Linked DNA regions of Struthio camelus. The protein of the gene in region 1 interacts with the protein of each later gene in a biochemical or structural test. Links are inferred from orthologs where the notes say so. Each region holds a gene or a part of one and is shown in the gene's direction. Other genes may lie near its edges.

Region 1 (16,612 bases):
TGAAACATAAGTGTAATAGGCTTTGGACACCTAACTAAGCCACGTAACGTAAATATGGTTGGTTGCACTGAAGTCATGGAGACAAAATGAAAATATTGATGCTTCTAAAACAGATGCTTCACATCTGACAATTTTTTCCTTTAAGGAAGTGGGATTCCCTGAATGTTTCTCAGGATGTGATAACTCTATCTTGATTTATCTGTACAGGAACTCCTGTTTTTTCAGCGCAGTAACTCTACTGGTTTCAGTACAGTTGTGCAGTGTTTAGGCCTAAGTACTTACTGAGGAAGTGATTGATCTCAGACCCATGGTACATGAAGCTCTCCATCCTGCTAGATCTGAGGAAGTCTTATTTCATCTGAGACGCCCCACATGCTGCTGGTGAAGTTTCCGGCAGAAAGAACCCTCCATTTTCCTGCCTGCAGAGGTGTTGCAGCCCAAAGTCAAATGGATGGACTGTTGGACTATGTGGATTAGAGGAGCTGCAGCCTATTAACTTGAGAATGTCAATCACATTCCTTCTGCATTTGTCAACAAAGGAAATCTATTATAAAATAGGATGGAAAGGAAAACATAGGGCGTGGATACCAATTATACAGCAAGCCCAATTTCAGTCTGAATCTGCTATTGAGCACTACATACAAATTCTGAAAGTTTTAGCCGGACAATAAGAAAAGACACAGAGGCGAAGAGGAAGAACCTGACCCTAAAATAACTCGATGAACTAAATTGAACCACACAAAATGATTCTTAATCCTTACCCACACGTACCCTGGAACGTGTGGGTAAGGAAGGGCAGGGCAGTAGCGTATTGTCCACACTACTTTATGTTGGTTAAATATTTGATTTAGCTTAAACTTTAACCTTACTTTAGGATTTAATCTGTTTGTGCTTTAATTGTCTTATTTTTGTGCTATAATATTTCTAGAACACAAAGCAGGGGCACTATCTCAATCACTGAGCAGAAATGGAAAGAAAGTTTGTTCTCTCTCTTTCTCCCTCTCTCTCTCTCTCTCTCTTTTTGTTTCCCCTTCCCCACGCCTGTAAAGGAGAATTCTTAAATAGTTCATTCTCCAAAATTTCTTGAAATTATTTTAGTACTCTATTTCAGAATACTTAATTATGATGTGAAGGTCTAGAAGCAGATCTGCTTCAGAATCCATGCTGAAAACCTCCTCAACCAAAAGCTGTCAGGGAGAAAAATGAAAGCTGCTCTCTTTTACTCAAAATTAGGTTGCCATTCCTTTGAGGGATCGGTGGCTGGCTAACATGATCATGAATTGCACAGCCTCCAAAGGAAGCTGACTGATAAAACTAAACAGAGGAATTTCCCCAGATTTCAGCAAAATTAGAAGTGTGCTTTGGAGTTTTGAAATACTGTCCAGATTTTGATCAAGATATTTTGGTGAATCTAGGCCTAAAGAGGAAATGGGAAGATTGAGCGAAAAACAGTTTTTTTGCTTTCCCTCTGTGTGATAAGTAAGTTCCCCTAGGTTACAGCAGAGAGTATTATCTCTGTTTACATATGCCGGGAACAATAAATCTTTCTTCTTTTTCAAAATCAGTGCTCGTATTTAGTGGCCTGCTTTCAAGAGATAGATTGAAACAATCAGTGGGATTGAACTTAATTAACAAGATTTTCTGAAAGTGAGAAGCCCAGGCAATAGGCATGCATGCTTGGGATTTTTCTATTTCCTTTTTAACTGGTTTAATTACTTTAATGGTGCACTTGATTCCTCCCCACCCTTGAATCTGCACATGGATTATGCAACTTCAGTAACATTTCTAGTGTTATTTCAGTAGTTATTTGCAATGCAGAAGCACCTAGTCAGGGACTAGGACCTCACTATGACTATCGATCTGATGAATTAATTAAAAAAAAGTGAATGAATTAAAATCAGCATGTTACTCAAAATCACACGTTAGTTTGGCTAGTTATCATGACTCCCGACCTCTTTGTAATAAATCATTACTGACATCTACAAATATCTGACTTTTCTAATCAGCTCACTGTGTTTTTTCAGAGCATTGTAATTACATTCATCATCAGGGGTGAAGTTTGGAGAAAAAGCCTATGTTTTCATTCATACACAAGCTGAACATCAGCAAGTTGGACACAGGGAGCTATTTAAAATTAAAGCATTTTCTCCATGATCTATATTAGTCTGCTTATATTGATGTAATTATGATGTACCACTGCAACATAAAGACTTGCACTTTAAGTGCCACATTCACAGTTCAGCTATTCTGATTTAAATAAAAATACAAACCCTTTAATTTAACAGACTTCTTATGTTGAGGAAGTAGAGCAAAATTTGATCTTTATGATTGTTTTATTTAAGATTTTTTTTGTTTACTTTTTACAGCTATAAAAGGGATTTTGATATGAAGGTTATTAGTCAGAATGTCAGTCATAAGGTTTCTGAAATGTGTAATTTTGTGTGACCTATAATTTTAAGAGAAACAAAAATGTGTGCAAAATAACATTTTCCCAAGTGAAACATCTTCAAATTTCTGGGCTGCAGAACTTGTACGATCACATCTTTCTGAAAATTATAGTTAATTTGCATGAATTGTAGGTTTTTAGTGTCCGGCAGATCTCCTTAAAATGTCATGATTTCAATAATCCATTTATTTTAAATATATTATTCATGCAGAAAAATCCAAAATAAGCCATATTTCCCACAGGGTGGGAGGAAAAAGAGCACTCAGACTGGGGGATTTTGTAAGGCATATTTTTTGTAAGGCGTGTCTGCCATGCGCTGTAGAAATACCTGTTTAATTCATAGTGGAGTCTAGTTTGTTTTCTGTGTTAATTCAAAAAAAAAAAAAAAAAAAAAAGGTAACGCGCAAACAGTGGAGATGCATAGGCAACCTAAATCTTTTATTTTGCATCAGTCCTCTGTAAATTTTAGCACATACTAGTACTGATTCTAGTTCTTGCCCGTTTGTTATTTGTGCTGAAGTGGCATGAATCAGAGGGTTTTTATTAATATATGTAAGGGTAAGAGCCTGAGCACTTCGTTTAAGAGATTTCTGGTAATTTGATGCTTCTAACAAAACAGTTCAAGAATCATTAAAAAAGCATCATAAGACTACCTCAGGGATTTGAAGAATGGAATATTGTAAAACAAACTTTCAAGGTAAGAAGTGAAAACTTGCATAAATTCTTAGGAGATGACAGGATAGCACATCATGCAGTAACCTTGTTGATTGTTAATTGCATTATCTGTGTGTACAGCTTCGTAGCCTAGTGTGTGATTTCTGAATGTGGGACTTTTCCTTGCTGTTTGGAGGGCTTTGGGGTTTTTTTTAGTCTCTTCTTCTTAAGTACTTACTTGCATTAAGAGCCTTGGATTGAATGCCCTTACAGGTTTCTGCTTGTGGCTTTGGGGAGAGAGACATTTATCTAAGGTTTAAAACATATCCATATCTATTTCTGTCAATTTTTAAACTGCTTCACTATTCTACACATAAAACTCTTCAACTCTAAATCCTTAAGTAAAGGTTTGCTTTTACACTTACACCTTCTAATTAGCCTGGCAGTCAGCAAATTCGACTTTCATCAGAAAACGCAGAAGATAAATTCCAGGTCTGTGAAAATCCTTCACTGAAAATATCCTGCCATCAGTTCTACCTCAGCCTTTATATTTGATAGCCAGCATATCTCAGATGATCTCAGCTCTCAGGGGAACATGAGAATAGAGGCATTCTCTGAGTGCATGAGTGGTTAGAAAAACACTACGCTTAGTGATCAAATGAACAATCCCTTTGAGCTTTCGAGATAGTACCCCCTCTCACAGGGCATCGGAAAGCATTTCTTTAACGATTATGCAACAACAAAGCACAATAGCATCGCTGGTTGACATGGTTTCTTTTGGAGGAAAAAAAGTCCAAGTTTGTGTATTACCTTGTTGTTATGATCTCAAATGAAGCCACTTCAGCAGTGAAGGAAGGCAACCTAAACTGTTGTCAAATCCCTGATATCAATGAAATAGCCTTCAGCATAAATAAGCGTTTCAGATTTTTTTTTTCTTCATATTAACCCATAGTTTTTTGCAAGGTTGTCACCTGCCTGAGACTTGTTCCTTTCAGTCCTTGTTCTGGCCTTCCAGCTTTGTGTTACACAGTTTAAAAATCCTCCTGGAGTAAATAGGCTCTGTATTACCGACTGTTCTTTTTATATGCTCTAGGACATTTCTCCAAGCAGCTGTTCTTCCTGTTTACTACTACTTTTATTCCCAGTGTGTGACTGTCCTATTTGACTGCTGTTGTCTACTTTTACTTATCACTGGTCTTGTCCCTGCACTTTTCTCCCTGTGTTTTCTTCTCACCTACTGCTCCCTTTCCCCCTGCCTAAACTTTTGCTGCATTTGTATCTGTCCATCTGGTTGCTTCCTTCCTTTACTTCGTTACTCTCTTCCTCTCTTCACTTCATTACATATCTTCCTTTACTGCCAGGGGTCAGATCCATCTGTGCTGCTTTCTATCTCTTCCCCACATACAAACCCCTGACACTCTCTTCTAGCAAGCTTTTTGATTACTAAGGTGGATGTTGCTGCAACCATACTTCAGTATATCAGCCATTCCATCTCCCTTCTTACATCACTGGACATTGCGTAGAAGTCCATATGTCACGGATCAATTTTTAGGTTATTTAGATTTTTCTTCTTTGATTTTTAAAAACAAATAAGGAAGAGCCTTTTTCTTAATAAACCAAAAAGATGTGTCCTGCATGTGAGCTCCTGCAAGCCACATACCAGTGCTTGCACGGATTAATGCTGTTGAGATGACCTGGGTTAATAGTTGCTACTGTCACAAAGGAGGCTGAATGGAAAATAATATTGCAAAGGTGGTAAGACCTGTAAGAATTTAAAACTACACAAACCCCCTTCGTAAAACTCGCAATAGCCTTCTTCCTCCCACCATGGGGCTTCTTGGAACCATCGTGACTCTTCTCCTGTTGAAATAATTTCTAGTCAAGACTTGAGATGTCTTTCTGAAAGAACTTTTATTAAGTGGTTTTAGCAATACACAGCATCCCTGAAAAGCTGAATTTTAAAGAAAGCAGTACGGACTTACCATCTGTCTCCTCAACATGTTAACAGACCGTTTGGCCGACTTATGATGGTTGAGTGTGTGTATTCAAAGGGCGAAGGAATTAGTTAACCTGAGAACTTGAAAAAATATCAAGTAAATTAGTTCACTTTTGAATTTTTTTCTTTGAATACGAAAAATAATAGTAATGTCCAGATTTTATTATTTTGTGTGTACACACAAACACGTCTGTTTATTTTTATGATGCACAGGTGGTGCTCAGTACACAGTAGGATACGTATAAACATACATGTATTCTTTCTCATTCCTTTGGATGTTCATGCTTTCTAATCATCTTTGCTAGACAGAGGAATAATGGTGGAAGATCGTAAATTGCTTTGAATTAAAATAAAGATCAGGTGTGTACCTTTTTTGCTAGCTTGCTGGTACAGTGCCAACGCCTTATTAAACACTCAGAAGATGTGATAATCAAACACATTTTTTGTTGATCAAAACTACTAGTTCTCAGCCATTGTGTTGCACACTTTTAGGAAGACTAGGTGCTTATTAGGTTAGGGCCAGTACCTTCTACTGGCACTTGACAATGCTGGAAGAATAGGAGAACAGGGCAGACAACTGGATAGAGGATGACAAGTTATGTCCTAACCGTCCTATGACAAGTTACGATGTTCATACAAACAATGCACGGCCTTGGAGGTAGTACACTGAATGTCACACTTGTAAACTGGGTAAAAAAAAAAAAAAAAAAGCATTAGTATCTTTCTTTCTTCACTGAACAAAAGTCTGTTGAAGCAGTGTCTGGATGACCAAGAGACTAAAGAAATTCAGATTATCAATTTTGCTTGTTTAATTTTGAGCTTTGTAGGTAAGTGTCTAAAATAGAATGAGTCAAAGATTGCTTTTCATTTTAATGAATAATCTGTAGAGAATTCAGCTCTCTGTTTGAACAGACTCAGTTTTGCAACTATCTGTAGTTTTACAGGCCATTGGAATGGTCGTTAACTTAATATTGAAGTTCTTTGTGTTTGCTAGTTTTACAGGCTTTTTTTCCCTTTTTTTCCTGCTAATTAGTTTGATGCTGCCTGCTTGACTTCTCTGGACTGAGAAACATCTTTCTACTTCTGTATCTATACTATTTATATGTACTTTAGGTCTCTGGTCAATTTTTAGGAGAGGGAATGAATTTCAATCTCAGTCCTAGATTTCTAATATGACCTACTTATTATGGCTGGAATGTGTCCTCATTAGCTCCTACTGTTGATGCCTGTCCTTTGAGAGAATTTTTTGCTCTGCTAGTACTTCTAAAGCATCTTGTTTGTTGTCGATCCTTGTGCTCACACTAGTGCAGAAAAATCCAATAGCAGCTACTATCTGCATGGAGTCTATATAGTGTCCTGCTCTACTTCAGAATCACTCAGTGCTGTTAAATCTGGCAGAATCAGGTTGAGATGTGCTTGCATCTTCCTTTGTCTGAAAGTGATTTCTGTGTAGATTGAGACGTTTTTAGTCTGCACTCTAATGAGCCAGTCAGTTTAACAAGAACTTTGTTCCACTGCTAAAGGTTAAATGTTTCTTCATACTAGAGAAATTGTTGTGAATTTCCTGTGTTATTTCATTCTGCTTAAAATTAAAGTCTAGATTTTATTAAAGCAGAAGTTCTTGCAGTGGGAGGTCAGTAGTGTTGTGTGTGTAAAGATGAAAATTAAGCCCATTTTTATGTTGGAGGTGTATGATGTCAAGTATTTAAAACTGGTTTTGTGCTTAAGATACTTTTACACTTCGTTATTCCCTTTCTCCTGCCCTGTATATATTATATACATAAATAGGTATATATCTATTCACCATTCCAGTCTGTATTCTGAGGTGAGAAACCATCTTGCGGAGTTTGGCATTTTACTGTACTCTGGCCTGGATTACTCTGCCTAAATTTAAAGCTTTAATGTAAACCTCTGCATTACTTTAAAATAAAGATGTCTGTGTTAACGGTCTACTCCGGCAAGAACCATTCACATAGATAATACCATTGATGCTGTAGGACATTCTGCTAACATTCCCCTTCTTCCAGCTCATCCCAGTAAAGGAGACTGATGATTGACTTTGAGCTGTTCTTAATAAGGAAATCCACAGGTTGTTAAATTTATCATCGTTAGACTGCCAGAGGCTGGGGATGAGCGTTTATCACTTTGATAATTGATTTGATTTGATATTCTTTATATATTAAGTCATACATTCTGTTCTCTCCTTTCCGTCAACTGTCTATTTATTCAGCTTACAGGCCTTATGATACTGAATTTTCAGTTTTTGACTTGGAGAAGATTTAGAGTAAATAAGCGAGTTTTGCACTTTTGTTGATGAGTTTCACCAACCAACCATACACGGTGAGGAGGCCACCATGAGCTGTGCTTCATGATCCCTGCTGAGTTAAAGCCAAACACCTTTCACACTTCTCAACCTTGTTTTCTCCCAGTGGAGTAGATGATGACCAATAATGAGTCAAAACCCAGGTGGTTATTTAGGTGCCAATTCATCTTAAGTGTGTATTTCAACAAAAAGTTGCATAACTGTGATCCCAAGGAAGAATGGGGAGAGAGGTGAGAAAGTTGTGCTGGTTTTGATTATCTCGTGATGGGCATTTAACACAAGCATGTCCTGCTGCAAGACAGGGTCCTGCTGCAAGATTTTTCAGTATATAAATATGTAGTTTTAGTGTCTGACTCTACTGCTGATCTTTTTTTTTTCTTTAATATATTTTGAGTCCTCTGGTTGGTTAGTATCTTGCTTCAAATTTGAAGTTTAAGTAAAACAGATGAAAATATATGATAATTTAACAGCTTGCTACCCTACCTGTTAGAGCATGAAGCTGATACAATGCAAAAAGCACTGATTCAAAATTGGTAAGCAAGCAATTTCAATGTTGTGAGTGGGTTTCCTGAAAGACCCAAAGCAAATTTTTAATTATTCAGAAAAATTATCTTAAAAATCATAATCTGTATGTGGTGTAAGTAACTAAGAACATATAAACACAGAGGTGAGCTTTACAGACTCCTAGAGCATTTACGCTTTTGTAGCTCAATCTCAAAAACAGAATTGTAAATGGAAGGGCAAGACTAGAAAAATCTGAATCCTATGAGCATTAGCGATGAACGCTATGTTAATAACAGATTCTGGGAGCTCTGAGATGTGAAATAAAATTTGACATTTGCGAGTCTATGTAGGGTTTTTTTTGAAGGTCAAAGTGACTGATGCTAGACCATATATGAGCTCTAACCTGAAAGATGAAATTCTGACACCACTGAATATTTCCTTTTTTACTGGTAATAATGCCACTGGCTGTATGGTGTTTTGTAAGAACAATTCTTAGGACAGCCAGGTGGGATGGCTGCACAGACATATCCTCTGAGGCAGCAGCTGTCTGTAACATGGCATTTCACTTGGCTAGGTGCTCATTTGCTCTTTGCTGCTACGTTTTGAGCACACTGTAATCTGTTTGGAATGGCTGCTTAAGTTAGCAATAGTCCAAAAGCAGAACTTAACAGCATCTGCTTTTCTGCTGTTTACTGCCAACTCCTCCATACAATCCATTTCGAACAAAGCCTATTTTCACGATAGAGCAATTAGGCATTTGGCTTGTTTGTTTTTAATTTCTGTTTGACTTTATTGCCAGAACAACCTGGGGTACCGGTGACTATGCTGAAAGAGAAGTTTGCTTGCTAACAGTTATGGATGTTTGCCTTAAAAAAACACTTTGGTGAAGAGTCATACAAAAGTCATCTCCAGAGAAGGAGGAGTTTTAAGGCAATAACAACACAATTAAAAAAGAAAAATTAATTCATTTTTGGAGAAATCTCATTTTTTAGATTGCTCCAGATCATTGTTATACTGAAAGCAGGCACATAGCAGTTTGAAAGTAAAAAGATATGTTTTTGTTATGGCTGCATGGGGCAGGAAGAGAGGGGAGACAAAGGAATTGTACAAGTCTGGAGAATGTGATTCTGCTGGTAGGTAAATAGGGTGTCTCCTCCTTCTGCAGCTGCATCTTGGTCTGAAGTGCATGATATGCCTCTCTCGTGCTAACTGTGACTATGGGTGGAAAGCTTTAGCTACTTGGCTAATTCCTCTCTGACTACTCGTTTCTGACAGATACAATACCAGAGTGTTTACCTCCTAAACGGAATAGAAAAGTGGGCTGATCAAGCACATAACAAATGCGTTAATCGTTAATGCGGTTTATTCCTGTGCTTTGAAATTCTTGTTTTAGTGATTGATTTATTTTATATGCACACCATTAAAAACACAGAAGCGTTTCTTCCCTCTTTCAAATTTGAGGAATAACCAGATACAAAGGATCTCGCTAAACTGCGAGACCCCAAGAACCTCTTCCAAATTTGGGGGGGGGGGGGGGGGGGGAGAGACTTCTCCCTGAAGGTACGCGCACACAGTCTTTTCCCCCATGCCTTCCCAACCTGTATGTCCCCGTTTCACTGTCAGAGAAATCTGAATGTGCAGGCTGGATAATGAGGACTTTGGAGCATGCTTCCTGCCAAATTGTATGGGCACAGCTTCAGAATCCGAATATATCAAAAAAGGGGGGGGGAAAAAGTTTCTTTTTTTGCAGTTAGGTCATTAGCAGTATGGATAACATTACCTTCTCATTCTTTTGAAGGTTACAGCAATTATAGTTCTTGATCTCTTTACAGTTTGTGCAGAATAGATCTATGAAAGATTAAGACTGCTTGGAAAATACAACTGCTGTTTCCCAGCCGTGTATCAGCTTAGTTCTGAATTATGATAGTAAGTGATTCCTCTGCTGTATATGAAGCAAGTAGTCCCTGATATCTGCTTGATTAGAGGTGGAAAAGTTTCACTCTTATGCATTTTTTTTTTTTAAGACTTTTTACAAATCATAGAGGAGGTCTTCTGCAGAGGAGGAAAAGACACTGCTGTAGCTCGTTCTCTGGAATTGCTGGCATCACTGGCATCTCTCCAGTCAGCATTCAAGTGCGATGGTATTCACTGAGCGTTACTTCTTCAGAAGCAGAGCATCTTGCTCTGTTTCAGTTGATGTTACAAAACGTGAAAAGTCAGTCTCTTTGGATAAATTTCCTTTCTCCAGTCACTGAGCTTTTAACTGCGCTTCTTTTTGTTGTTTTGAATGCTTCTCTGAGTGCAATTGAAGGCATATTTGAACTAGATAGCTAGCCTTCTGCAGGCTTAATGCTGCTGGTATTGCTGAGTTATTAATGCTCATGTTCATGTAGATACTGTCACAGAGGCTGTGCTGTGCGTCCCTGCTGTGAGAAGCTTCACAGGCAGGAGCTAACTTGGTGCGCTGTTCAGGGCTGTGTTGCCTCTGTGTTGGGGTACCTCCACCCTCGCGTTTTGCTGATTTCTATGCTTTGACGCAGGGCTTGTTTGTTAAGGGAATTGCTTTTATTCAAGCAGCAGGTGGGCTGCGATTTGCTAATTACATCAAATTTGTGTACATGTGCGTGCAGAGTAGTGATAACAAAAGGCTCCTTACTTTATGCAACAAAACTACTAATGTCTGAGATCTCATGAGTCGATGTTGTTTTACAACTGTACAGATGCAATTTTTATTTTTTTTAACAGAATGGCTTAACAAACTTTGAGATTTGTGGTTGTTCTTATACATCTATCCAATTATGTTCTAATAACTGGGCTGGATGTCTTAGATCCCACCACTAGAATGAACACAAGGGACTTGTGATGACTAGAAAACCAATCAAAATAATAATAATGAAAAAAGAAAATCTGTACTGCAGTGCAAGAAAAACACTGGCTAAAGTTCATGCAGTTTTTCTACTGGTTAATGGTGATGATGATGGTAGGTAGCACTTGGGCAGCCCCTTACAACTTCAAAGGACTGCACAAATAATGCATTAGTTTAATGTAGAATACCCCCTCCAATCACTTCTACCATAACCAGGAGACTTGAAGCCTTTTATGAAGTGTAACAGACCTGTCAGTGAAGTGGAAAAAATGTAGCCAGCATGACTTCAACTTGCAATCATCTAGTCAAACTGTAACAAATAATAAATTAGGTTTGTATAAAAATATATATGTATTTGCCAAGATCGTGGTGTGGTACAGCCCCAAATCAAATTATCCTGTACCTTTTTCCCATGTTCTATGTGGAGTGCAACACACCACTTATCCTCTAATTCCTACTGATGGTATAATTTGACAATTATTGATTTCAACCAAGATGTGTCAGCTAGCTGCAAAGAATATGGCCCATAATTTTATTCTTTTCAGGCACACAGACAATATTTTCCTTGTCAGTGTAGAAAATCTCTCAGTTCAGAAATTGGGTGGATGTTCTTCTATTCCAAATATTAGGTGTCTCCTAATTTCTTTGTTGCTTGATGGGCTTGTCTTATTTAATGGCACAAAGAGAATTGTCAAGAGGAGGTGTGGGCAGGGAGGAGGGAGTGTGTTTCAGTAAATGCCTCTTTATGATACTTTCTGAAAGGCAAGCAGTCAGAGCTGTAGGCTTTTGCAATTGCAACTTTTTGTCCTAATTGTGAACTACTTAGGTTTTGTAAAAAGAAAATATCCTGTTTTGTTAGTCAGAATGCGGTTGCTTTCTCTTGCTTTCGATTCTTAGACAATACTACATCCCCAGTGGGCTGCTTTGCTGCCGTATGGGCTATGCTTAAGGGTCAACCCCTCCCGCAAAGGGCTTATATTTTATTTATGTAAGTAGGATAGTTCGTTATATGCTAGAGGCAATTCTGTGCAAGTTGACACTGCAGATGGAAACAGGACAGAATCCTGCATTTTCCTTATGCTCAGCAGATTGCGCACTGATTAGTTATCTTTCAGTAGCGTTTGAAGGCTAAAGATAATGAACTAGGACTCCAAAATAAATGCATTTACTTTCTGAGTTTTGATACGTGCAGACTGTCAGGGAGCAGCAGGAGTGACCTGCCCAGCAAGGGATGGCAGGAAGGGAACAAGGGTGACTGCGGGACAGGGACCTTGCCGAGGAGAGGCACACCCAAACGGTTACTGGGGTCAGCTGCTGCTGGGGGAACACCAGACTGGTCTGCAGTGGTGGGGGCAACTCAGCAGGGCCAGGTCAGAGCTAAGTGAGGCACCAGGCTGGGCATGGGTGGCCCTGTGGCGGCACAGGGGCAGGGAGCGGCCACAGGCCCCAGCTGAAACAGAGCTGCAGGCTGCTGGGCCCTGGAGGCGTCTCACAGTGCTCCCTCGCAACGGAGCTGCTTCCCAGCAGCCTCGTCCCAGGTTGCAGCTGCCCCGCGGCAGAGCTGACCCTCATCACGGGCAGCTAAACCCCTGCGGGGGCCGGGGAAAAAGGTCGCAGGGCCTGCTGCCCTCAGGAGCCTGGCAAAAATAGCTTCAGGCCATGATTTTTCAAACTATTCCTCACAAATACCAAAGCTAGAGTTTGATGCTTGTTGTTGTTGTGTCTTTTCTTCTGTGTATTTTTTTCTTTCTCCTCTGTCATTTTGCCATCGTCTCTTGATTTCCGGTAGTTCAGGTTTTCCATGGGGAGAAAATTGAGACGCTCAGTAAACACGAGCACAGATTTGGTGGTACATAGGCAATTTTTTTGCTACCTGCTCCAGTACACTGGGCTTCTCAAACCTGTGGCACCCCCCAGGCAAGCCGTGCTAGTCATCCGAGTTTCTCAGGGTAACTGAAGTCCGTGAGTCACTACTATGGGCTACCTACAGAACTGAGAAACTGAATCAAATTGCCAGAGCTTTATAAATAGGTTACTGGATTTTTTTAGCATTGACGTATTCTCAAAGGCTAGTAGATAACCTGCTGGGATAGCACAGACAAAAGCAAGGGAAAATGTAACACTCTGTGTAGGAAAGACTTCTTATTTTGCCAAATGGTCACAATTTATGGATACAGAAACGTTCATAAAGTATTTACCTGGGAAAAAACTGACCTTTTATTTTCAGAGGTAACATGAATACAGCCATTTTCTGTCTACAGAGCATTTTTGTACACATTCCTGAGCTGCCTGCGCGGCTTCCCAGAAGGTAGAAAAATGAAAGCTTCCTCCTGTGAAAATTGAGGCAAAAATAATTGTCTCTGTTTATTTCAGTAATGCCTGGAGGCTTGCACGGAGGCTCATGCTTTTGCACAGACAGACACGCGCACACGTCTCTTGGCACATGCGCGTGTTGTTTAGAACTACTGATTATTCAGTCCTTTGCAGGCTGCTCCACCTGAATAATTATCGTCTGAAAGCTGTGTGTGCAGGGTTAATGCAGCACCAAGGCCGTTGCAGGTTGAGCGGGGTCTGTGAGCTGCGAGTCAGCGTGGTGTGCTGCCTGCCACCACAGCCTCTCTGCTGGCCTGGAGTGTGTGCCGAACAAGCCCTGCCTGCAGGAGGCAGGCGAGGTGCCCCAGCTTCCCGGGGTTGCACATTTCCGTAGGGTACCTGGGAAAGCAGGGCACGTGCTTGGTTTGTCTGCGCACCCTACTCTGTGATACTCCTTCTAGGGGGGTTTAGTGAATCGCTGTTGGGCTCTTCCTGAGTTGTTCCGGAAGAGGTGGTTTTCCTCGTTCTTGTACTTCATGGGTGGATTAGGAGGAACATACCCAATTTGCACTTGGAAAAACGTGTACATAACACTTCTGGTCTGCAAAAATATTTCAGATAATTTGCAGCTCTGTCTAACTGTTTACCATTTCAGTCTTCAAAACTAAAATTTCTTTAGGTAGAATGTGTTTTTTTCCATTGCATAAAAAGTGACTTGTACAAACTCAAATAGCAAAAATAAATTAAAGTTTGTGGATTCTTTTCTTTTTTTTTTCTTTTTTTTTTTTAATAGCAGTAACTCCCACGAACTGGTACAAGGCTTGGTACTGTGCAAGCAGTTTTTCACTCTTAGAATGCTGCTACTGAAAAGCAGATATTGTGTAAAGTACCATCGATCACTGCCGCTGTTTTATACAGTTTGTCACCATTGTTCTTCGTATAGCATTGAGTCACATTTAGAACTATGGTACAGCTCACAAGTGTTCAGCAGGGGAAAAAAATGTTTTTTTTTTCGTTTTTAACTGTTTTTTGTAATCTTAGTCAATGATAGAAGATATGTCTAACATGGCCTCCTGTACATGAGAACAAGTTTAATTTATTTAGAAAAATATAATGTGGTTTGTAATGGTGAAGAGTGGGATGGAGCTTCTGAAGACTTTAGATAGCTGAGGTTAGATACTAAAATGCTAATGCAGAAATCTAAAAGGCTATTGTGACAGAAAGTTAGCTCAGAGGAAGGAATGCACTTTGACTGTGTTTACTTAAACAGCTTTGGGATTTCCCAATAATTTCCTGGATATTTCCTGACTAGGAGCATACTATATCTTACAACTTTAGCTAGCTAAAATCCAAGAGGAATACTAGATACATGTCTTCAGTTTCTGAAGACTTGCATAGTTTTTGATGGCTTTTTATCAAAGGAAGGCTGGTACTCCTACAGTGCCACAGCACTCTTTGGGCTCCCTGGATATGCTCCGAGGTGCCATTACCTTAGGGGTCTTCATCAGCTGAGAGTCTACTACAGGATTCGGGTTTTTCCTGAGGTTTGTTTTGTTTCTCCTAGTGTGACATTGATTTAAACAAACTGTTCCCCTGTGAATGTGCTGCAGTGATTCCACGGAGAATTGTGTTTTTCTTCAGTTTGACAGACTTTTCTGGCTGCAGTGATGGGGATGGTAGTTGACACTACCACCATTGCCTTTTACCACAGCAAAAGTGTTACTGCTTTTCTTCATGCTAAATATGCCTCAACTAGTTTTATTATGTGTATATACAACCCGAGGCTGGTCTCTGTGCATTCTGGGAAGTGGAAAGACAGGATTAAGACCTTAAAAAAAATGTTTATTTCAGAGATAACATAACTGAAAAAACTGGCAATTGAAAACTTTTTGAAATTCTTGGAGTTCGGAAAAGTGTCATTTTGCAGAAAGGGAGCAAAGCATACATGTAAGTTTTATTATTACAATTTTTATCTTAAAATTTACAGATTGATAGCAATTGTCAGCTTGCAGGAAGGAACTGGATCAACTAAATTGATTTTATTAAAGCAAGATTTCCTTATGTTTGCACTTACATTTGGGAATTCCGCAAATATAGATATTTGTGGAAGATTTTATTTTAGATGTGTTAGGCAAAACGATCATCAGATAAAAGAACGTAGGTAAATCTGCTGCTGTACTGAAGATCACTGAAGGATTAGCAGAAAGATTGGTTTGTGACAGCCTGTGGCATGTATTATAACCAAGCTGGTCTAGAGTATATTGGTAAGCATGACAAGAGATTGGACATTATCTATATGCGTGTGGAAAAAAGTTTGATATTGGGATAAAGTAAGGTTGTGCGGTGAAATGCAGGCATTATTTCTGCAAGCGGAGTTGACAACAGAAGACCTTGAAATGGGTAAAAATAGCATGGGAAGGCAAGTTGAGAGATGTAAAGAATTTTTATTTTTATGTGCCCTATTAGTATGCAAACAGTAAATATAAATGTACATATAAAAAGTCTGATATCCAAGTATGCTGTCCTTGCTGATAGTGTTTGCAGTGTAAAAGAGATCTGTTATACAATAGAGTTGCAATTATTTCTAACATAGGACAGTAGCTGACCTGTACTTAAAAAGTTAAAAGTAACAAACCCCTAGACGACCTCTGTGCTAAGTTCCCATTTTTCCTTTAATCTGCTATGGGGAAAAAAATTGAGGAGTTGTTGCCTGTGCTGTGTGCTGGAAGTTAATCCATGGAAAGAATCTACCGTAGGTCCACGCACCACCACTTGTCCAGTTTAGGCATGCAGCAGGACTTGGAGCTTGCCTACATTTTAATCTGCTTGCAGATGGCCACCTTATCAAGTGCTAGCTTCAGCTAATTGTCAAGATCTCTTCAGATTGAACCACTTATCTCACGACTTAGAGAAGCTGTACAATTTTCAGTTGGCCTAGAAAGCATGCCAAACAAGATGTCACAGCCACCTAAATTCCTCTGGAGAGGATGAGAAATGAGCTATTTCTTCTTGCAGTACAGAAAAGACAAATCAATCAATCTGCACTACCAACTGGTAGTGAAAGTTAAGAGTTGGTAAGAGAACTGTAGTTAGAGGGTGATCTGGCAGGTGCTCTTTTAGCAGAGTTGCAGAGTATTAGACACTGTAGAGGCCTGATGGGATGTTATTGGAAAACCTTATGTGAAATGACTCTAAAGGCTCTACTTAATGTGGAGAAAGGTTAATAATCCAGAGCAGAAGAAGGGTTTGAGAAACTGAAAAAGGCCACGGGGTATTTGTTTTCAGAGTGGTAACCTGTTGAATTTAGATATTTAATGGTAACTTCTAGTACCTAAGGTACACGTTATTTTTAAGCATTGGACAGCAAAAGTTAGAAGTGGTAGCATTTCAATCTGTAACTCTGTTCATTGAGTTAAAAGTGAATATTGTCTCGAGTTAAAAGTGAATATGAACTTGTACTAGCTATTGACAACTGTGACTGGAATTGAGCAGGTGGGCTTGGAACCATAT
Region 2 (16,567 bases), on another chromosome or scaffold:
ATATCCTTTTCTGCAATCCTCCAGCGCTGTTAAACTGTCACCCTATTGATATATTTATTTTTGTCATGGGTAGTACTCATTATCTGTAATTTGAGTATGTTAAAGTTAGACTGTTTTTGAAGTTGTCTAGATATTTTGAATTCTGATCTGTTTTCCAATGTGTTTGCAGCCCCTTCCAGATTTTCTGCAAATTTTCTGCAAGTTCACTCCCTGTTCTATTAACCAGCTGTTAAATGAAACATTGAATAGACGAGGACCCATGAGAAACCCCTGAAGGATGTTACTGCAGTGCCATCCCGATTTGTCAGGACACCATTGATAAATATGTCTTGGGAGAAATATTTAACTGTTTGTGTGTCAACTGTTACTTGATTTCATCTACGTCATTTTTCATATTTTATTGCAGGCAAAATTACAGGGGACCAAACCAAAAGCTCTGCTAAAGCACAGATATTGTATTAACTGCTTCCTTCTTATTCAATAGCCTGTTTCCCTGTCTAAGAAGGAAATTAGGTTGGTTTGATGCAATAATGATCCTAAGATTACATCTTAATGTCTTATTGCTTGATTGTTTTCTATCATATTTTTATCTTCATCATGCCTATACACTAACTGCCTCATAACCTATGATAGTATCTTTCAGAGATGGATGAAGTATATATGAAAGTTAGGTCAATTGAACTCTAACTCCAAAGAGAGGCAGTATTTTCACCCTTTCCAGTCCTCTAGGATCTCCCTTGTACTCTGTGAATTCTCAAAAAGCATGAATCATCATGCAGAGATTATTTTTTCTTTTTAAATGCTCCAGGGTAATTTTTAGCCTGTTTTCCGATGGAAATACAATTTATGTGATCACACTGTATACTTGCTTGTCAGGCTGCACAATAACTTTTGAACTTATTAGTCACTTTCCAGCCACATTGGACTGGATAGTAGGGATCTCAAAGGTATCACATTTCTACAGTTTTTGTGAAAATGAGCATGTATATAGACAGTCTTCCATGGCAGGAAAGAAATCAGTCTGAATGAAACCATGATATTAGACACTGGAAAATTGATGCAGAAGAACCTTGTTATGAATATTCCATATAAATTTCAGTCAGAGCTTTCACTCTGGGCTAATCTGAGCAGGAGGCTACGCAAGGCTGCAAGGGAGCAGGCTTTATCCACTGCTATACTTTATCTCAGCTACACGTTCTAGTCAACAGGATCTGAAACCGTCCGTCGTGTCTTAATATCACTTAACCCATTCCCTGCCTTTTCTGGCCTGTGCTTCTTGACCTTTGTTAAAAGTAATTGCTTTGCGTATCTGATCTTAAGATTTTTTTGCAGAGACATTAAGCAGAAAAGAGCATTGAATATTTTAGTCTTCTCTGTGACATCTGTTACTTGCTATCTTTCCTGCTAGATAATGGATGTGAGCCTTCCATTGTCTCCCTCTTAGGTCTGCTCTGTGTGTGGGTGGGTGGGTGGGTTGGTGTGTCTGTATGAATATAAACTTTTATTGGCTTTTAGGTCTTTTCCTAGTTTAGCTCATTTAGTCTCTTAGCCTTCCTGATTTGATCCCCATGTGACTATTCCTTTAAACTTGCCCTTAGTCATCTGTTCTTGTTTGGTGTGATTCATCCTTGTTTTTTAGGTAGTTAAAGAGCTCCTGATTAAGCCATATTGCTCTCTCTCCGTGTTTCCTTTGCATCAGGATAGTCTGCTGTTGTGCCTTTAATATGCCTCTTTTAGTAACTGTCAGCTCTCCTATGCTCCTTTTTCCTTCTGAATTTCTTCCAAAAGATCTACCCACCCATTCATTCCCCAAGCCAACTAAAATCTGCTTTTTGAAGTCCCATCTCTTTGTGCTATTCCTTGTCTTCTTTAGCATCATTACTTTTACTGTTTTGTGATCAGTTAAACATAAAACATTCCTCCTTTCCTCCTTCATTTTATCAGTTAGTACTTTCTGATTAAGCTAGATAATATGTAGAATAGCATTTTCCCATATCACCTCCTCAACTATCTGAAATAAGAAGTTGTTTTCAGTACCTTCAGGTATCTTCAGGGCAGCTTGTCTCCTGCCCTATTGTTTTCCAGGACCTTGTGGGGTGGGGGTGGGGGTGGGGGTGGGGGTAGGAGAAAGCTTGTCCCAAATCTGCTGACTATGGGGTTGTTATCTTTTTCTTGGAGGGTTATGACATCTCTGGACAGAACCAGCGACAGGACACTGGACTAGGTGGCTGTCAGATCAGACTGAGCACAGGAGTTCCCCTACTCCTGGCACAGGGGGCATCCTGAAAGAAGTGGCAGACCAGCTCAGCTAGATCCGGAAGGAGACAGAGGAGCTGAATCTGTAAATTATAGTACTGTCATTTTAATCTCTAATATTTCATTATCTGTCAGGCTTATCATTGATGTTATTTGGCCAAAATTTGAAGTCTGTATTCATCAGTTAGAAAAAACAAAACCAAACCAAATTATTTTTTATTAAAATGACACACAAGAAAGGATTGTAAAAGTGTCCTTTTTCTGGCTGGAATATAGCTAATAGTAGTTAGAGCAGGGAGACTGGAGTTAAGAGGAACATTTCTATGGTAAGAAGAGAAGAGTTTAATTTTTGTGTTGTGTTTGGTTTGAAGGGAAGCCATCTGCAGGCTTCTTAGAGATTTGGTCTAGAAGTAATCATAGCAGAGGTGGATCACTGGATCTGACTGCTGGTGATGATATGAGAAGTAGATGATAAATACAGTTTATGACAATTACACAGATGATAAAAATAGGTCTTTGCTTACATGCTGCTTGTGTCTATTTCTTGAAAGTAGGCTTAATGTGATACCATTTTTTCATTCTGGCTTCTCTTCAGCTTGATATGCTGGTATACGTAGAGAAGATATTTCTGCTGGTATATTACTTATGTATATTTTTTTTTTTACCTTTTAACTCAGAGTTGCCTATATTAAAAAAAACCATAAAGCATGTAGTTTAGTATGTGGTTCAGGGAGACAGCTCTAATTCATTGTGCCTCAAAATTGATTTAATCAAGATCTGAATAACTTTTCCCTATTAAAATATCACTGTTTTCAATCTGATTTAGAAAATTTTAACTAAACATAAAAATTAAGGTTAGCACAATATTCCTATTTGCTCATAAACAGAAATCCAATGTAAGAATCAGGTGCAAAAGGTATTAACAATCTGGGACAATGTTCTATCACAGTAGTGCGTTTGCTGTCACAAGTCACTTGGTGTTTTACTTTGTACTCATGCCAAATCTGCATTTTTCATCTTCTGAACATCAGAGCACAGCCTGGAACATTCTAGCTGTGGTTTAGCCATGACTGCACAGGAGCGTGCCGGTGTGATAAGGGGAGGGTCCTCACGGGCACTCAGCTATATCAGGAATGGGAAGGACACAGTGTTGGAGCTACAGACTTCCAGCATTCCCCAGGACAGGAAACAGTATTTTCTTTTCCTAAATTATACTTTTCCAGAACTCCACTTTCAATCTAAGCTAGAACTGTCAAAAATACTTCATTTTAATGATGAAACGATTTAGGCATTTTCTATACAAGTTGCTGTACCACTCTGTCTGTTTTAGTCAGGAGAATATTTTTTCCCCCATGAAATTAGAACAGTTTGGCTGCTGGTGTGGGCATAGTAATAGGGTGTGTGTACGTCCTTCTGTATATGAGGTATGTGAGTGCATGTGTATATGTGTGGGTATACATGCATTTATACATATACATACATATAAAATTGGTCTACACTGGCAGATATACTGGTACATCAGCATAGCATACTGGAATAGCGTATGTTTGTCCCTTAAAGAAATACCTCTGTAGATATAAAGCACCTTTGTAACAGCATAAAGGGCTGTACTCAGAAAAATTGCAAAAGGGTTGCAGAGAAGTAAAGAGAAACAAATGAGGCAACCCGCTCACACATCTGACGTCTCTGTTACCCAGACGTGCCGGGATGACAGGGAATTAACAGAAAGAATTTGAAGTCTTCTTAACAAACGAAACCTGTTTCACTGGCACCACAAATAATTGATGGGATAAATCAAAAAACTTGAATATTGGTTACAGAAGATAATTGCTTGTTTGAGAAAGATATGACAGAAACAAGGCCAGGGTGCTCTGCTGTCTGTCAAAGAAGATAATTTGCTCCAAGTCCAGGAAGAGGAAAGAAAGCTACGTATTGAATATTTCTGGGTAAAGATATAAGAGGGTATAAAGAAGAGATGCAATGCCATTGGCAGATTTATTATACAACTCTTAATCAAAAGAAGCAGGTGAAAGAACTAACTCACAAAAACATCCAAAGGAAGGACCCTAATGATCTCTGATCCCTGACATTTCCCTGAACTCTAGCTGAGTCAAGAGACTGAATTAAGTTCTGAAGCATATAGCTTTTCCAGTGATGTTATCATTAATCATAACTCTGGAAATCCTGACTTGCATTCCTAGAAAAAGTACAAGCCTGCTCAGTCAAGTTCCTCTTCCATCCCTACTTCTCCTGTTTGTCCTATGAACTTGAGGTCTCCCTTCTAATTACTGGTATAAGTAAAAGATGTTCTAATTTAGAAACTATATGTAAACAGACATTACTCGTATAATCTGCTACATGACCTGATCAGGCACCACCCTCAGATATTCTGGTGTCTGAATTTGCTGCTGGCCTAAAATTTAATCCAGCTAAGATCAAATTGATTTTGGTGGGAAAAGGATAGATATGACATAGCCAGCTATTAAGAATGTGTATGACTGGTGTTAAAATAGTACTATTTCTCATGAGGAAACCAAATTCTATTTAGTACTTGAGAGCAGTGAAGGTGAAGGTCTAGGAACAGGGAAAAACATTCCTCTGTAATTGGTCCCAAGAACATAGAATATTCTTCCTCAAGAACATGTAGGATAAACTTTGGATTGTATCATATTTAGTGTTTGAAATTATGTCTCTTTGTTCTGTAAAGAATGTATGTAGAAGTTTTGAAAATGACATTTGACTTGACTGCACTGTTTCCTCTATAGATGCAAGGTGAATGTCTCTAGAGACTAAAACTCCTGCAGTAGTCTTACTTACTTTCCCTATGCAGCCTGTCAGTCCCTTCCTTAAACCCCTTACCTTCACTATCTCCTAGTTAATTTCTCTTACTTTTTGAAAGATTTATGGGTAGATTGTGAACTTACTGTGATAAGAGTTACTCAGACAGTAATTCCATTGGCAAAGTTGACAGCTTGCGCAATTTTATTTCAGAATTTTTGTTATTTGGCTTTTTTTGTCTTTAGAATAATGAAATTTCATAATCCTTTTCTGTTCTTCAAGCATCCTTGATTTGAGGGTTGGTGCAGTGATCAGCCTTTGATAACTTGCATTTGACATACCCTAATGTGAGAAATAGAACATAGGCATTTTATTCCTTCCTGTTCTGATTTGCATTTTGAGATCCTCTTCCTTAGCAGTTAGCAAAACTAAATGAGCTTTCTCAGACTTAGCTTGGAATTAAGTTTTCCCTTGTATGTGGCACCTTCTTCATTATCCAGTGCCACTCCACTGAAATGGGATTTCCCTGTATCTATTACCTCAAGTTATGGCTGATGATGATATGTGGTGATTACACAGGAAATCTTGGTAGCAGACTGTTCTGCTCCTGGAAACTAGAAGGCCAAAAGAAAAAAATGTAATATTTACTATTTAAAAGAAACGATAAAAGAGTGAGAAATACTTCTTCAGAACTATTTGAGAATTGGATTTAGTTTTTAACATTTTGTGGGGGTAGCACTGAGCTGATTGCCCACCACTGTGAGTAAGAGGTTATCCATCTGGCTACTGGACCATAAAGTTTTAGTGCAAAATGAGGGCAGGACATTGTCAGTCCTCTGAAAAGCATTATTCACATTTATGAAGTCCTATAATAAGGTAAGTCTTTTAGAATGCGTGTGAAAATTTCTAAAAGGTATCAATGAAGTTGTTCTTCTCTCCCACCGTGATACCATTAAACTGATAATACTGAAGCAATGTAGCTCTACAAAGGAAGGGATACTGTAAATCAGTGTCAGCTCTAAAACATTTAAAAAGTAGGTTTTCTATGAAATACGAAGGAGAAACATACCAGCTCCACATATTCTAAAAGCTAAATAGACTGTCTCATCTGGAGTCAGGATATAATTCACACTCTGCTTCAGACTACATCAACAGCTCACAGAAACAAGAGATATGGTTCTGCTGCTATATTATGAAAAGTAGACTGAGAAACTCCAGGATCCCCTAGACCCTAAACTGGATTTTGCAAAAAATACACATTTCTGCCAACTAGCAGTTGTAGTGTTTAATGAGCCCTCTAGTGGGGAATCCTGCAGTGCAGGTAAGTTCACTTCCTGTTCCCTCAGTGATAAGTCTTCTGATACACCATGTGAGATGTTTTCAAGATCTGATTATTTTTCTTAGTGTTAATTTAGGGCAGTTTGCAAGAAATCTCAGAATTTTCAGAATATTGAAACTGCATGTCTGATAGAAGAAGTAATGAAAATGATCTTTCTCTTCATGTGTTATCCCCCCTAGTCATGGTGAGTGTTACTTTATTAAACAAGGAGTCCCAGCAATTTCAGTGGAATACCTTGTAGACAACAGTATCATACGTATAAGCCAAAGTGGCACAAACAAAGCTTGTTTATGTATGTTCTTGTGAGGGTAGCAGAGGTTTGTCTTAACTGAATGCAAATGAGCATAAACAGAGACATTGAATTTCTTTAACGTATTGCTTCTTTCTTGGCATATTTTAAGAACAGTATGCTGCAGGAGGATATACTCATCAGGAAAGGAGGAACATGTTCACTTATGCTAGGGTATGGATTGTGGGATTGTATGTTTTATTTTTAACCTCGCAAGAAGTTTCGATACCAGCTGCTAAATATGAATATTGCACATTAATATTCACAGAGTGAACTAGTAACTGCTTTACTTCATGTCTGACTACTAGTAATTTCTTGGTGTAATTTGCTTAGGTAAAGCCTGAAAAATCTTCTCTATGATCAAGCCCTTAAAAAACAAACACGTCTTGGTCAAAACATCACAATACGTCTCTCTGCCAAAAAAAAAAAAGTTTATCTGTTACTAAATATATGTCCTGTAACAGATCTAGTTAGCAAGTAAACATATTAATTTTTACTTCAGGTTAATACCTAATTGCTAAGAAACTTGCAGCTATGCTGTATACTTGTGGGAGGTGAAGATCTTAGATAATTTGACAGATGTCACTTAGAAAGGAAGAGAAAGAACGGGTAATATCCATGTTGTGTACAGCTCTGCAACCCAACATCAGTAGTCTATTCCTGCCATTCTCAAAATTCAGAAGAAAAATGGGTTGGTAGATGGCCAGGATGTCTCCACACAGCAACTACAAAATGACTTCCATGCCTAGGTGATGAAGATAGTTATCTGTGTATGCAGAATACCATAAACCTGCAAGCCATGATTCTTCTAAATAATCAAAGCTATTGCGGTCCTTAACTTGCATTTATAAATTAAAAGGCTTTGTTCTAGAACTGACTTTACCACGCATCTCGTGTTCCCAGAAAAGATTATGGTAGTTTTAGGGAATGAACAAGTGAAGACTGGGTTTAAATGCAGCTCTACTTGCATTTTAGTCTAACTCAACGGATTTCAAAATGAAATCAGCAATCTCTAAGGCACAGGGGTGCATTTTGTATGACACGCAGGGCCGGGGCTGGTGCACCGCTGGGACCCTTTTGAGAGAGAAACATCTGCGAGAGGTGGTGGTTCTCGGCGCCTGGCTCCTGCCCCGAGTTTCAGCTCCTCCGGTGAGAGTGGACGCGTGGTGCAAAGGCAGGTTACGGCCTCCAAGTAACGCCTCGTCCCTGCAGACCGCGGCTTCCCTCCGACCCCGGCCTCTGCTGGCACGCGGTCCTGTTCGGAAAAGAAAAACACACACTTGAAGTCTAGCAGACCCCCGTCAGCAGCTGGCACCAGATAAGTCTCACTAGGGGAAAAGCTGTAAAAATAACGTTTATTTAAAGCGTGCAGAGAACTGACACGCTCAGCTCTGCCGCCGCTGCCAGGCGCTCACAGCAGCAGCCTGACCTGGGGGTTGTTCTGCGGGGTCCCACGTAAGGGTGACCCCGCACCCGCGGCCTGCGAGGGGCCGCCGCCGCCGCCCTCCCGGCCCCGGCGCCGGCCCCGGCGCCCCGGGCTGCCTCGGGGCCGCGGCAGCAGGAAACCGCCGCGGCCTCGGGGCCGCCTGCTCCGCCGCCCCGGCCCGGCCCGGCCCGGCCCGGCCCGGCCGCGGTCCGCAGGAGGGGAGCAGCCACGGGGGCCGGGGCCGGGGCCGGGGCCGGGGCCGGGGCCGGGGCCGGGGCCGGGGCCGGGGCCGGGGCCGGGGCCGGGGCAGGTGCGGGCCGGGCCGGGCCGGGCGCCGGCGGAGCGCGGCGCTGGCTCGGCTCGCGATCGTGTTTGCGCATGACCCCTCCCCGCCCCGCCTGCGCCCTCCCCGCCCCGCCCCGCCCCTCCCCTCCCCGGCGGCAGCGGCGGCGGCGGCGGGGAAGGGAAGGGAAGGGAAGGGAAGGTTAGCCTCGCCTCGCCTCGCACACAGGCGGCTGCTCGGCGGCGACGCAGTGCAGAGGTGCGGGCAGGTTGCGCCGGCCCCGCGCCCCGTCTCTCCCGCGCCCCGCCTGCCTCCGGAGCCCTTTCGCCGCCGGCGGCCTCCTCTCGCCGCCGTCGGGCCGGCCCCCCGGCCATGAGCGCGGCGCTGGGTGTCCCCCCGCCGCGCCGCCTCCCCCGCCGCCCCCGGCGGCTGCCGGGCTCCAGGAAAGTAGCTTGATGAGTGTCCAAAGTAGCAGTGGAAGTTTGGAGGGGCCGCCATCTTGGTCCCGGCTCTCCACGTCCCCACCGAGCCTGCAGGGCTGCTCGGCGGCGGCCTCGGCGGCGGCGGCGGCCTCCCAGCTCCCCGGCGCGCCGCCCGGCAAGCCGCCCAAGGAAGGTAACGGCCGCGCCGCGGGGCTGCGCGGGGGGCCCGGCCCTCGGGGAGGGGCCCGGCGGCCGCCGCCGGAGGCCGGTCCCGGGCTGGCGGGCGGCGGCAGCGGCGGCGGGGGAGGCGCGGGGTCAGCCCGCGGGCCCGGCCGAGCCGCGCCGGGGGCGGGCGGCGGCGGCGGCGGCACCCCGGCCCGGCCCGGCCCGGCCCGGCGCGGGAGGAGCGGGAGCGGGAGCGGCTCGTTGTTGGGCGGCGGAGGGCGGCGCGGCGCGGCGGGGCCGGGCGGGCGGGCGGGCGGCTCGCGCGTTTCGCGCCCCGCCGCGGCCGCCGGGCGCGGGTGACCCGCGGGCTGCGCCGGGCGCCGCGCCGCCGCCGGCTGGAAGGAGTCGGGTGCTTTTGGCATCATGGAGGAGGGCAGGGGAGGAGGGCGACGCCGCGGCGTTGGTTGCTGTCGGGAAGGCGCCCCGGAGAGCGGTGGGTCGCGTAGCCGCGAGTGACAGGGCACCGTGCAGCCACCGCGGAATGACTGCAACTTTCTCCTTTCCTCCATCACGTCTGAGATGATAATATTTTCCTCCTCCCTCCCCTGCTCCTCCCCTCTTGTGTTACACCGACAGCGAGAGCAGGGTGTTGTGGGTGTTTGCAGGGAATATCTGTATGAAGGTTATGAGCAAACAAGTCCTTTTTTTTTTATTATTCCGTTTCAGTTATTGTCTGTTTTTCCTCCTTGCATTGAAATGCATTGCCACAAGATGTAGCAGTTATACAGCTAGTGGGTTGCTCGGTGCTGTTAGCTGAAATAACTACTTGCTGAATGTCAGTCAGTGGTGGAGGAGAACTTTTATGCACAGATACATGCATACTGAACAGTCGTATCGTGTTACTTGGTGTGCCCCGGTTTAACGAATGCCATATAGTTTTTCTGCTAAAGTACAAAACATTGTTGGCCAAGCAGGAAACTTTCTACCTTAAAATAGGAATAGTAGTGGGATTGGGGAGTCTTTGTATTTACAGTCTTGCAGCTTTTTCAGTTGGTAAGCAGTACAAGGACTTGATAACAAGGATTCAGTATCCAGCAAATGTGTAAGGAAGTACCAGTTCCTCTGATTTTTCCATGCCGGTAGCTGTCAGAGTTGTATCACTCTTTGTCACTTTTGCACACGCTCCTCTGGGTAGATTGGCATGAAATGCTCTAGAAAATACCTGGAAAGAAATCACGGTGTATGTTAAAGATGCTGAGTAAAGTGGCAGGCATTTTGTGCTCGTGTTCTCTTGAAAACTGAAGCTCTTAAAAAACAAAAAACAAACAAACAAAAAAACCCACCACCACCAATAAAAAACCCCAGCTAAATATATAGTTTAAGTTTATTGAGCGTAGGTTTCTTCACTGCCACGTTTGTTATGAATATGGGTGAATATAATATTCATATAGAGGGAATATGAAAGGTATTTTTGGATGCATTTTGAATACCTGGCATACAAGCATGAAACGATTATTGCAGCACAACTTCCATATCTCTTTATTTTAAACAGTGCTCTTTGAGTATGTCTGTTTAGGCATGGAAAAACATTTTTGTAAAATTAATTTTTAAAGTGGTGGTGATGTTTTTTACATTTTTTTTCCTTCTTATGACTTAAGCTGTTTGATTTTTCTGCGTACTGTAATTTACATTGTTCATATAGATTCAGAGGTTAGAGAGCAATCACAAAACCCTGATATGTGCTTGGTATTGTAATTTACTGTATTTGCGTAGTGTTTTTGTGTTGTGGTAATTATATGATCTCACGAGGCAGTTCTGTTTGAAAATCAGTGTAAGCTCTCAGCAAGGCTTGTATTCATATTTTGCGTTTATACTTATGGAGTGTTAGTAGCACACCCTTATGTAGGTATATTTTGTGATAAAGTATCTGTGCAGTAGAGCATAGAATAAAAACATGCTGTTAATACGTCCATAGACATTGGCTTATATATGTGTAAGAATTATGTCGGATCCCTGCTAAACTAGTAAGTTTGAAATATTTGAAATGCAGTGCGTTTGTAGGAGTTTGCGCTCCCGCTGATTCTTAACTTGTAAGACCTTGTAACGATAGCAGAGGTTATTAGCTTGTTTGAAGTGGTGCGTAAGGATGTAGGCCTACGTTAGATCAGAGAAACACTCTGTGCGTTTTCTGCGTTTGCGTTAACGTCTATATGCCTATACCATTTTTGAGCAGGTAGTATTTCCAGATACGATGCGTTCGACACTGAGTCGAGCTTGTGGCCTAGTTTTGCCACTGGATTTGTTGATTCAAATCCCGTTCATTGACTTCTGTGGCAGTTATGCCTGTGTTGCCTTCAAACGCGCAGGCCTTCAGAGCGCGTCATGTGTGCTGTGGTCTAGCCGGCCTTACACGTGATTCATCTTGAAAGTTTAGCATGTGCCGCATTTCTCACACTAGCTTTTAAAGATTCCAGTTATTAAGAACATAAACCCCCAGCACCCTGATTTAGGAAGTCCTAAAAATATTCTCTGAAGCCTTAATTTGGCGAAAGCAAAAAGAAAAGCTTTGGTTTATAGCTGTCACCCAGAATTGTTTTAAAAAAAAAAAAAAATTCCGTGACAGTATTGAAAAGGAACTATTTGGACAATACAGGGTGAAATTGAAGAAAAGAATTCATCTTTTTTGAAATGCACTACAGATTGCACTAACTTTTTTAATTATATTCTTAACAGCTATACTTCTGGGGTACCGTGGCTTAACTCTATGGATCTGGAATTTTGTTTTAGGGTTTTAAAATAAAAAGATTGGAGTGGACTTAAGTACAATTGTATCTGAACAGTTTTATTACACCCGAGCTATCTCTTGTTTGCATTTCAGTATCGTTTCTAAGTTACCACATACTGGTTTTGAATTTTATATGGTCTCTTACAACTTTTCTAGCTCCTCAGATATTCTTGCATAACATACTGTAGTTGTGTCAGTTATTTTATATGAAAATAACTTGTGTGGTATACTTGGTCATTTACTCAAGAGCCCTACAAAATGTGCAATCAAGAATATGGGAAGAGCTGTTATGTAGCATTAGATGCAGTATGTGAGTGGGTAGATAAACCTTGTGCTGTAGCTCATCGAAGGCCGTCCTGCAACTTCATGTTCAAAGTTTGTTAGCTTTTGACAGATTTATGTGTGTAACTAATATAACCAAAGGACATAGTTAGAAGGTGCTGTTTTGTAACCTGGGGATGTTCAGGTTATTATTAGACAAAGCACAGAGAAGAGATTTTGGGGCATACATGTATGAATATCTTGGAACTGCTTCTTTTTGGAGGCTGGGGGGGGAGGGTAGCAGTGCCACGGTGTCCGATAGTCAAGCGTAATACTTAGCAGGCTGTTATGTGTGCATGCTGTTGGTTTTAAACATTTTACTAAAAGCAAAACAAAGTGCCAAATACAGCTCTGAACTACTATGATAGGAATGTGAATTTCAGATTTAGAATTAGAGCTCAAATTAATGTATGATGACAACATGGTAAATGAACCCATGACAGTTACTTAACACTGTTTAAAGAACTAATGTTACAGATGTAGCAAATTTTGATGGTGAATCTTTTTTCTAGTTTGATAAATGTATTTATCATTTTCATTTATTATTACCTAAAATGTAATGGTAGTTGTCCATCTGAGCCTATAGGTGCAGGTTCTTCCTTAAGTTTCCCATCTAGAAGATACTTCTACATGCAGATTTGTGTCATGCATGCTACATGCAGTATAGTAGTATATGAACATGAAAGCTACTTGATTTTATTAAAACTTCTGTTTTTTTCTCTGTTGTTTGCTTGTGGCAAAAAACTCAACTCTCTTATTTTCTTAACCAGCAACTTTGTTTATTGTTGTTTCTTATCATTTAACTGTAGATGTAGAGCTCTGAGGATTTTTTTGGATTTGGATGGTTTACGTGGGAGCAAAGTAGTATAGGAGCAGTTCACAGTTAAAGATGAGAGTGTATTTTTACTTAGAGTGAACATAGCAATCATAAAAGATTATTTAGGCCAACTATAGTGTGAGCAGGTTTTGTGTAAGGCTTACTGTTGTTCCACTGGTATGCACAGATTCCAGCTTGTAATATTGCTGTTTTTGTTGCACATGTGTTTCTTAGAGTGAGCTGATGCTTTTGACAAATTCGTATGAGATGTTATAGTATGACCAAATGAGAAAAGGGAAAAGAAGACTTTTTTTTTTTTTTTTTAAGTGTAGGCCCATCCTTATTGGAATCTAGTTTTCCAGAAGACAAGCGCTGCAGAGAATTGAGTAAATGAAACTTGGATTACTGTTTTGTTTTAATTCTGGTTTAATCTGCCTAGAATGGGGTTTCCCATTAACTTATTCCATTTTAAATGGAAAGAGAATCAATATCTCTTAGGACAGTCTACATTTATTTATTATTATCTCCATTCAAATAACAGGTATATTATTTCTCTTTTTTCTATAATTTTTTTCTTGTTTGATTTTTTTTTTTTTCCTCTCAACATTGAGTTGAAGTAAACATGTTTCAGTGTAATAACAGTTCTGCAGTTAGTGTTGACATTACTTTGGATTTTCTTAGAGCTCAGTAATTCTAACTGCATGCAAAATACTGTTCTGAACACTCCTAGGAAAGTCTATTTTGTGTGTGTGTGTGTCATGGTCAAAGTTAGATCTGTAGAATTTTGCTACCTAAAGAAAGGATGAGAGATTATGGAAAATAACTCAAGTTTAAATAATCCTTTATACTTTTTGTCGTCTTGATATAATTTAGTGTTTTGAAGTAGTATTTGTTCCCAATCTAGATTACCCCCATATTAGATTTCTTACCTCCACACTGAAATTTTGGCAGAAGTAAACGAATTTAAATTTAGTAAGCTAGGTGTGTTTATGAAGTGGAATATTTCTTGAACTGTAACTCCCTTGCAACACAAAAGCATATAAAGGGAAAAAGAAAGTTTTGGCCTCACTTTATGAGCTTCTCTTTTGTTTGGTTTGGTGTGTTTTAGCTGTGAAAAAGGAAAAAGGAAATTTGGTTTGCTGGACTGCTCTAAGTGGAAAGAAAAAAAAAGTTGAGGAGGAGAAGAAAAGTAATTAACTTTTCTATTTAGAAGAGCAGCGTTGAAGGATAGTTCCATGGAGCGTAGTGTTATAGTTGCTGGATAACAGTTAAACAAAACCCAGAAAAGCTCCTTGCAGAAGCTGACCTCCAAAACACAGTCCAGTTCCCAGGGTGGGCTTGTGAGTCAAAAACCTGTAATGCGTCATTAAAGATCGCAAGGGACAGGTACTCCACGTTCAGTATTTAACAACAGAGGAGGGGTGGTGAGCTGGATGAAGGGTTTTCGGGATCCTGTATCCCTTACCCAGAGCCAAACCCTTGTTGAGATGCTCTGCTTAGGAGAGAAACTAAGGCTCAGCTTCTCACTCGGACACTGCCTGTCCTGGGGACTTGCTCCTGAGCAGAGCTCTGGTATGGGCTGGAGAAAAATCCTGGCACCCAGCCTGTCCCTGGGGAGGATGCAGTCGGTGGTGGGACCACGGGTGCCTGCAAGCTTTAGCAGGGCTTACTCAAACACGGTCCCACAACGCAGGAGCTGAACGGTTTAAGTGATGGTGGACATGCCGAAGACTGGTGAAGGGGGGAAGGCTGCTGTTATGAGCCTTTGTGGGTGGGTCTATGCTGGAAAAATTGACTGAAATCAGAGTGATTATATTGCTAATTTTAATCATGACTTAAATCAGCGAGCAGGAAATCCTGATTAAATAATTGTTTTTAATTTTATTTTGCATTTGTGGTTAATTATTTTTCCTAAAGAAAAGTTGATTCTAATTGGTCTAATTTGATCATATTTCTTGCGAGGCAGGAGGGTACGCATCTATATGCATTTATTTAAGTAGCTATGTAGCTTAGATTCTTAATGTTTAAGAAACATAATTCCCCATCTTATAGATAGCTTTTAGCTGACTTTATTGGCTAAATAATATGAATCCTAATTGTGCTAGATATATAAGAAGAAATAAATATATCCAAATATGTTTTGCATTTAGAACAGATTACGGAAGTAGAATTGTCTGCAGTTTGTGAACTGAGTCAGTTATTTCTGGTCACTGTGCCTTTCAAGACTTGGAATTAATAGATAAATCCAATCTCCAGTCCTTCGTGTTCATCATTTGGAAAAGAAGATCAGACTTTCCTGCTTTCTAAATTGTCAGTTATTCTGTCAGCATTGAGTGAACTGAATTGAACTGAATGCATTATTGACTTGAACTAGTGGAGCAACAAACTAAAATAAAAAAAAATGTTGTCAAAAGTTGGTTTAGTGCTTCAGAGCTCTGGTTCCAGCTGCTTACTCAGGACTTCCGTCTGTTTGATAGTTTCGCTGTCATTAGGGCGTTAAAACTTACATTGGTCAAATGTATTTTTCACTCATATGAATTTAATAGATAAACTTTAAATCTCACTGTAGATTGTCATCCTTTGAAATTTAACTTAAACATTTAACACTGAAGGGTAACACAAACAAGAGAAATGATCTGCCCTATTAAAGATCTTTTTAGCTTAGGAGTTTGATGAGCATTGGAGGCTCACAGATGTCCTCAAAAAAATCAGAGAGTGAAAGTTAGAGGCTGCTAGTTGATTACAAAACTGCAAAGGGAATCTGGTAGAGGTAGAATAGGGATTTTCATCCTTTGGAGCTTCAGTGTGAGACAAAAGGAAGGTCATGGGAGAAGATGAACATTCCTTGGTACTGTCTCCACTTGCTGGGAGGTAGCAGCAGAAGCAGTAAGGAATATATTTTGTCTCATCATGATATCTGCACAGTTTTAGCTAGGTGGAAACTTAAGGGCATTATACTTTCTTAATGAAGACGTTATGAACAGAGCACTCGCTCCTTTAGTGCTTTAGAGATCAGTATGAGGGTAACAAAATGCTAGAATGCCTTTTAGAGGAAATGAAGCCTGATCAGGGTCACTGGGAGATTTGCAAGTGCTGGATTCTCTTTTCGTTAGACTTCTACAGCTATACCTGTAGGAGAATAAAAATTTGTTCTCCTTCTCTGAAGCATAACAGGAAATCTTAGTGCTTTAAGAGCCCTCCATTGTGTGCTGTCACATACAGCTAACCTTTTAGATATTTACTAATTTTCTGACTGTACTTTGAGCTCAAAGCATATCAGTGCTTCAAGCACTGTGTCCAGCAACTGTAGCTCCTGGTGGTTTGTTATTTTTTTGTTTTGTAAGTAATAGAGAATTATTTATTGGTCTTGGCTAGAAAGTATATGCATACTTAATACATGCCTTGAAATAAGTTATTAAAAGAGACGTTCTGAACTATATATGCAAGGGCAACCTAGTGGAAAATTGCTAAGCATACAAGTGAATATTTTGGTTGCTTTTCATAGGCCGTGTACATCTGAAAAAGCTTACTTTAGATCTTGGTCTTGGAATTCACCTTGTTGAATTTTTGATGCCCTTAGGATCACCTGGTTTTAACAACAGACATCTTTCCCATTTGTCCTTACCACAGAACTCACAAAAAGCTCTTGGTTCTGGGGAGGCAGATGCAGGGGATGCTGCAAGCAG

The links.
Region 2: the proteins of MBP (region 1) and TLK1 form a complex in vitro, tested with the Homo sapiens proteins (2 studies listed by BioGRID, with this or other methods). The link is inferred for Struthio camelus from reciprocal best matches to the Homo sapiens genes MBP and TLK1.

Annotation. Positions count from the first base shown.
Region 1 is NC_090943.1:106,583,882-106,600,493, forward strand, and holds the start of MBP (myelin basic protein), read left to right. Parts: upstream 1-9,912; 5' UTR 9,913-9,927; coding exon 9,928-10,064; intron 10,065-16,612. UniProt on the Homo sapiens protein: The classic group of MBP isoforms (isoform 4-isoform 14) are with PLP the most abundant protein components of the myelin membrane in the CNS. They have a role in both its formation and stabilization.
Region 2 is NC_090947.1:23,048,482-23,065,048, forward strand, and holds the start of TLK1 (serine/threonine-protein kinase tousled-like 1), read left to right. Parts: upstream 1-8,514; 5' UTR 8,515-8,826; coding exon 8,827-8,986; intron 8,987-16,567. UniProt on the Homo sapiens protein: Rapidly and transiently inhibited by phosphorylation following the generation of DNA double-stranded breaks during S-phase. This is cell cycle checkpoint and ATM-pathway dependent and appears to regulate processes involved in chromatin assembly.